2 linked regions of the Cricetulus griseus genome follow. The protein of the gene in region 2 interacts with the protein of the main gene of each other region in a pairwise test. Links are inferred from orthologs where the notes say so. Each region holds a gene or a part of one and is shown on either strand. Other genes may lie near its edges.

Region 1 (3,820 bases), on a different chromosome or scaffold from region 2:
CCTCTATGGCCTCTGCATTAGCTCCTGCCTCCAGAATCCTGCCTTGTTTGAGTTCCTGTCCCGACTTCCTCCAATGATGAACAGCAATCTGGGAGTATAAGCCAAATAAACCCTTTCTTCCCCATCTTGTTTTTGGTCATGGCGTTTCAGCACAGCAAAAGTAACCCTAGCCAGGACACCCCTAGCCACATCATAAACACACACACTAGGTTGTTGTTCTTTTAAGTTTTCTTTAGAGAATTTCTGCCTATGATGGTGAGAAGGTATCAACACTGAACAAACCTCATGCTGGCTTACACTGACAGGTGCTATGTGCGCTCTGGTGCCACAGAAGGAAGAAGCGGCAGGAATAAGAAAGCCCGAGTGTAAAGCTACCTGGCCTGTTCATGAAGTCGCAGCGGCCCAAGCCAGCGATGTCCACCCTCTTCATGAAGAGCACCATGCTGGTCAGGTTGGCTTCCTGCATTTCTGCTGGCTTAAGGGGCCTCATGTCTTTGGAGGCAAATTCTTCAGTGTACAGACAGAAAAGTTTTCCTAAAAGAAGTCAAGGGAGATGGTTTCAGTGTTGCTGTGACACATACCCCTGAAGGACTTCCCACTGCTTGCTATTGTGCCTACCACACTACCTGAGGGAGAAGACCCAAGAAGCTGCTTGCGGGTCTCAGCTTGGCTTTGGCTGATGGGCTGAAGGACGAGGGAGTTGGCTCTGATTCGGGGGTTGTATACCTTTAACAGAAACACAGCATGTTACCTCCTGGAAATTCAGGTGCAGCCACCCGCCTCTCTCCAAGGTGACTGCCCCCAGCATGCCACCACAGAAGCGCTGTCAGGCTCTTCTCCTTTGCTTGGTGTCTACTGCACACCATGAGATGGAAACTGCCTTGACAAATGGATCTATAAGCTGCCTGCTTCCACAACACTTCTGGAACTACTGGAGACCTCAGTGTCACCTGCCACAGTACTGAGCTGCCACTTCTAGAGCCTCATGCTGGTGTGGGGATACCCACCCCACAATGTCACATAAAAGAAAGGGTTTCCATTCAACAGGGCTATAATGCTTAGATGTTTTGTTCAGACTCAATGTTAGCACAGTGGGCCCACTTATGACACATACTGGGATTTTCTGGGTGGTGCACCTACTACAAATGCCACACAGAACTAATAGCTACTCTTGCATGTAGCTTAAAAGGGCAAGTGACAGCCTGTGTTCTATGAATGATGCAGTAACTGAAGACTGACTCCAATAAGGCGGGTGTGGTGGTGTGTGACTAAGATCCCAGCACTCGAAGGCTGAGACAGAGAATCTTAAGTTCAAGGCCAGCCAGGCTACATGGCAAGACCCTGTCTCAAAAGAGACTGCCCCAACTTGTTTCAAGGGAACCTTCATAACCATGGGGACACCATGGTGTCACAGTAAAACAAGGATATTCAGGAAGTATAGAGTTTCCTCAAGGGATAAAATCTGGTAGTTTCCTCTCTGTTTCAAAAGCTTGTTGTTGTTGTTGTTGTTGTTCTAGTGTCTTCAGAGTTTAAGAAACCATACCTTCATTTTTTTTATTTAAAGGGAATGATAAAAATATTTTGTATGAGGTTATTTCATTTATAATTTATTTATCTTTAAATTATTTATTTGTTTGTTTGATTTGAGACAGGATTTCTCTGTGTAGTCCTGGCTGTCTTGGAACTCACTCTGTAGAACAGGCTGGTCTCAAACTCACAGAGATCCACCTGCCTCTGCCTCCAGAGTGCTGGGACTAAAGGTGTGCGGCACCACCATTCAGCTTTAATAATCTATCTATCTATCTATCTATCTATCTATCTATCTATCTATCTATCTATCTATTTCTGAGACAGGGTTTCTCTGTGTAACAGTCCTGGCTGTCCTGGAACTCACAAGATACTTGCCTGCCTCTGCCTCCCAAGTGCTAGGACTAAAGGCACGTGCCACTGCTACTATGCCTGGAAAGAATTCATTTTCTAAAATATTTAGATTTAAAAAATTTTGTCTAATTATCCAGTATTTGCAAAAGTTAGACAACTGACTTGAAACTAATTTCCCTGAAGTAATATGCTAATTATGCTGAAAAACAGATAACCAGACATGATGTACCAGAGAAGCTTCAGAAGCCGAATATTGTGCTATGCTAGTAGGTTTACCTAAAGACACAAGGGGTTGGGCACTGGGCTAGCATATGGGAGGCCCTGGGTTTAATTTCCAGTTAAAAGGAAGAAGGAAAGGAAGGAGATGGGCAGGCAGGTAGACAGGAACCAACACCTTTATCAAACATTTGGTCTTTCCTCAAACCTCTGTACCTCAATTAATTTCCTTCCAGACTACCAATATGCTAAAGAGATATAGCCAAGGCTTTATCGGATGGTTACAACCACTCTGTGCACATGTGACCAAATAAAGCAAGCCCTGGGTCACTATGTACTGTCATTTTCTGGACACTGGTGTAGCAGGAAGCCAGCCAGTGGGTTCTGGTGATGGCTGGTAGGACTGTAATTACCTGTCTTCTTTCCAAACCAACGTCGATAACAAATTTGACCGTGTGGCTCCAGATCAGAGATTCCCCGCTGCTGGTGGTCAGCACCACCCTTCTCTGGTATACTTGGCATCTCTTCTCGGTTTCATCCGCTGGCCTGAACAGGTTGCATTTCTCTTTGGGATACAAAGGAATGACCACCAGCTCGCCTAGATCTGGGTTTAAGTTGGAACCTTCCTGACACACAATTTCATAGGTTTTTTCAATATCCTAAAGTGAAAAAAAAATCCATGAGAATAAAGAACAATATTTCAGTACAGAAATATCCCAGAATTCAGTATTTTTTTTTTTTTAGGTAATAATGCACATAGGGAAAGAAACATTTATGCTATTGCCTTAAATGAAGGAGGAGGACATAATCTTTCTTTGGGAAAGTTAAATGTGATTTGCACACAATTTCATTGCTTTTAGCCCAGAATGGTTTTCCCCTCAAGAAAGTCTTCCAGCATGATGCCATTTCTTAGACACATTAACATGAGCAGAAAAATCAAATTCATCCTCACATCAGTGGTGGTAGTTCACTGTTCTCTGAGCCAGTGGAACTAAGCATTACCCAACATCATCTAGATTTTCTGTAAAGAGCAGTATCCCAGCCTGGTGTGCTGGCTCATGCCTTGTATTCCCGGGGCTCAGTGGGCTGAGGCAGGAGGATTACAGTGTGAGGTCAAGGCCATCGTGGATTAGAGTGTGAAACTTTATCCCAAAAAACTAAAATAAAATGTAAATGTACATAGAAAAGCATGATTGGGATCCTCACCTAGGTCACCTTAGAAATCATTTGACCCATGTGTACTTCAAAGTGGTGGCAGAAAACCTGTAAGATGGGCAGGAAGCAGTCACCGACACTCTGCATTTACAGGCATTTAAAACAATCTGTTCAAATACACATCAAACATACTGGGAAAGAATATAAACCACCTGCCATGAAATTACTTATAAGTAAATGGGAGTGCCTGAAGGTAAAGTATTTTAGTTTGCACATTTTTCAAATCCCAGCTAGTTTTTGAGAATAGATGTTACTTTATCTGAGTCCTTTTATAGTTTTGGAATTTCTGTCTTCTTTTTGTGTTGTGTGTGTGTTTGCTTTTTTCAAATCAGGGTTTCTGTGTGTACTCTCTGCTATCCTAGAACTCACTCGGTAAGCCAGGCTGGTCATGAACTCACAGAGATCCTCCTGCCTCTGCCTCCCTAGTACTGGGATTAAAGGCATGTACATCCATGCTGACCAAATTTGTCTTTTAAAGTGCAAAGCAAGCCACCAAATGGAAAGCTCA
Region 2 (3,820 bases):
ACTATATATAGTAAAGATCATGTTTCAAAAATAAAAAAAAGAGTAAATAAGCAAAGCAGCCCAGACTAAATATTTTGCTACATATCTGTAAGCATAAGTAAAGCGAGAAAATACAGGTGAAGGAGCAGGAGAGATGGCTCAGCAGTTAAGAGCACTGGCTGCTCTTCTAGAGGACCTGGGTTCAATTCCCAGCACCCACATGACAGCTCACAAGTCTCCATGGGCACCAGGCACACATGTGGTGCAGACAAACATGCAGGAAAAACACATTAAATTACAATAAAAACAAACAAGCAAACAGATGGCCACTAAATGACCCTCAAAGCAAGAGGTAACTTAATAAACTGATAAGCCATTAAACATTTTGAATAAAATCCCACCTCTATATATCATTAATACTAGGAAGGACCTAGTCTGTCTATCTCCTGTGTGCCAGGCCTGCCTGAGATCTGACACCCAAAGACATGACACTCCAGCGTCTCAGAAACAGGAGGTCATGCTCAGTTTTTGGTGGGAGGCAGGAAAGCATTTTCAGCAAGAGTGTCATCCTTAAGTTCAATTTTGTTTCCAAACCATGCTGGAGATCAAACCCCAAATGTATGTTAGACAGGCTCTCACTGTTGCTGAGGACCTGATATTTAGAAGCAAATACTCCAGGATATTTTGTTTCATACTTAGTTTAAATATTTATCTTAGGTCAGTCCTCAGATGACACCGAGCACAAACTTACCTAGAGGAGACACTAGAATAATCTTCCCTGGTGATCACTGGCCAGACGTCTTTTATATTTAGCTTGTCCTGGTACATTTTCTCTAATTTTGCCATGGTTTCTGCATGGGCGGCCTTTAGCTCTCTTAGTTTCCTGAAATACTCTTCATTAGAGTGGTAAACATCAGAAAAGTCCACAATGTCCTGGATTGTCACATCTTCTTTTTCCCTGGGAAAGCTGTTACCACTAGCCTGATGGGAGGAGAAATCCATTATATGCTATTTTAAATGAAATAAACAATTGATGCTGATCCAAACGCTGGTTCTTACATATGTCCCACTCTGTAGCCCAGGCAGGCTGCCTCTGCCTTCTGCTCCCTGGGATTAAAGGTGTGTTCCACCAAGCCTGGCTTCAATCCATTTTATAATGGTTAGGTACCTAGAAAACTGACAGTAAATATTCAAGTTGGGACACTTAACACTGCAGAAGACAGAATGGGACACTGCTACGCAGATTTCAACCAGAAGCCTCTTCTGAGTTGTGCATCTTTGCTGACAAGAGAGAAGCTACTCTCCTGTACCTACAGCCAGCTCTTGAGGGGTCCCTGCCTCGGGGCTCCAAGGGTGTGCAGTGGAGAGAGGGCAGGCCCAGGGACAGTTCTCAGTTGCTCTTCCAAGGACCCAGGCTGGGATGACCTTGGAGGGGAGAAGGACACGGGGCAAAGAGAGTTTCAGAAGGGTCACTGCTGTGGGCAGCAAGCAAAGTAACACCTGTGTATGGCAGACAGTTTGGGCAGGAGAAGTGAGCGTGGAGAAATACTGCATGTACACTTGCATGCAGGAGACACTCCACATACAAGTCAGGACTGGAGGGTTCTGACTGGACTTTCTCTCATCCCTTTTACCCATCGTTCTGTTCTTTTTAAAGAGATAAAAACCTCACTTTCTAGAGCTACAGAAGCAGCTTAGTTGGTCAAGTGCTTGCCATGCAAGCATAAGAAGCCATAAAAAAGCCAGGCGTGGTGACACAAGTTTGTGACCCCAGCATTGGGGAGATGAGACAGGACCTGAAGCTTCATCAGTGATCTCTAGATTCCAGTGAGAAACCCTTCCTCAAATAATGATATGATTTCATAAAATAAGTCTGTTGAGCCTTTCCAATGGGAAAATTCAGAAGAGTCCATTACAAATCATACCTTGGGCTGCAGAAGGGCCTTGGCTGTAAGGTGTCTGCTGAGCATGTACCAGACTGTGGGGTTATTCCCAACACAACGAGAAAGGAGGGGATGGATGGATGGATGGATGGATGGATGGATGGATGGATGGACAGAGGGCCATATTTTTAAGATTATGTGCATACCTGTGTGCATGGGTGAGTACAGGTGCCCATGGAGCTGGGGGTTCAATCCCCTGAAGCTGGAGTTACAAGTGGTTGTGAGTTGCCTGGTGTGGGTGCAGGGAACCAAATCCCAGTCCCTACAAGAGCACCAAGTGCTTTAACCACTGAGCCATCTATCTAGCCTCAGATTTTTGTTGCTATTTTTTTTAAAGTTTTTGAGAGGCTGGTGTTGTCCCACTTGGAATAAATTCTAGAAAACAAATGAAATGTAGAAACTTGTTATCAACAACTCATAGGGCCAAAGACCTATTTAATGTATGTCACATGAGTTGCTTAGGAGAATTTGTTGCTTTTGCAGAGGACCCAGGTTCAGGTCCCAGGTTCATAAACGTGGTGACTCACAATTCTTAACTCCCGTTCTAGGGATATAGCGCCCTCTTCTGGCTTCCACAGGCACTGCGCACACATGGTAATCACTTAGACCTGCACAGACAACTGCCTCACGTAAATAAAAATTGATGGGGGCGGGGGCTAGAGAGATGGCTCAGAGGTTAAGAGCGCCAGCTGCTCTTCCAGAGGTCCTGAGTTCAATTCCCAGCAACCACATGGTGGCTCACAACCATCCATTATGAGATCTGGTACCCTCTTCTGGTGTGCAGATACACATGAAAGCAGAATGTTGTATACAAAATAAATAAATAAATAAATAAATAGATAAATAAATAAATAAAAATCTTAAAAAAATGATGGGGGCAGGGGGGATGAGCAGAGTTCCCCCAAGGCCCTGCATTTGCCCCCTTTCTCAATGCTCGCACTCCAGAAGTCTGCACAGCATACTCGCCCACTCTCCACTCAAACACCACCTCCAGAGAGGTTTCGTGGACTATCCCCTTTGGAATGGCCACTCTCCCAACTCACTGAGTCCTCTTCTCCACTTCATTTCTCCAGAAGTGTTTACTCACACCATCTGCCCCGTCCTGGCTGATCTGTATACCCGGGCCTGCTCCAGCTGGAGAAGGGTTTGTACAAAGGCAAGAGTTTATTTGCAGGGTTCTTTCTTGTTCTCAGCTTCTAGGAAGGAGCCTGACCAAGAACAGATGTCCAGTACATATTTGTGGAAAGAAAGAATGTACAGTTAAAGAATATGTAAGCTTCCACCACAGGAAAACAGCAGTGTTTCCTTTCGCAAGACTGAGCTGTGTCTGGAAGGGCAGGTTGCTGAAGGACCACCTGATCTTACTGAATACAAAGGAAAAGGCCCATGATCCTAACATAAATGAAAACCTAAAACTCAGGCTGTAAAACTGCCAGTGTGTTATAAACATATGCCCTCTAGGAGAACAGTGGGCAGTTTTCAGACAGAACACCCGTGGCTCATTCTCTCCCCCACAGACTCTCTAACAGGTCCTATGTCATCTACACTGAAGACAGCAGGGGACTGTGGCCTGGAAGAACTGTGTGAAAGGGAGACACAGCAGGGTGGAAGCAGAGACAGGCCTGAGGAGCTGCACACACACACTGAGGTCTGCATGTGGCTACTCACTGTTAATGCAAGCAAAACTCAAATAAACTCTCCTGGTTGTTTCACTTTTTTTTTTTTTTTTTTTTTTTTTGGTTTTTCGAGACAGGGTTTCTCTGTGTAGCTTTGGAGCCTATCCTGGCGCTCGCTCTGGAGACCAGGCTGGCCTCAAACTCACAGAGATCCGCCTGCCTCTGCCTCCCAAATGCTGGGATTAAAGGCAGGCGCCACCAACGCCCGGCTGGTTGTTTCAC

Evidence for each region.
Region 1: the proteins of Fam161a (region 2) and Dhx32 interact in binary tests that used the Homo sapiens proteins (3 or more experiments, as listed by UniProt). The two-hybrid records come from large-scale screens. The link is inferred for Cricetulus griseus from reciprocal best matches to the Homo sapiens genes FAM161A and DHX32.

Annotation. Positions count from the first base shown.
Region 1 is NC_048596.1:67,132,018-67,135,837, reverse strand, and holds part of Dhx32 (putative pre-mRNA-splicing factor ATP-dependent RNA helicase DHX32), read right to left. Parts: intron 2,757-3,820; coding exon 2,511-2,756; intron 727-2,510; coding exon 627-726; intron 535-626; coding exon 376-534; intron 1-375.
Region 2 is NW_023276807.1:83,748,050-83,751,869, forward strand, and holds part of Fam161a (protein FAM161A), read right to left. Parts: intron 1,156-3,820; exon of another isoform or gene 1,039-1,155; intron 961-1,038; coding exon 731-960; intron 1-730. UniProt on the Homo sapiens protein: Involved in ciliogenesis.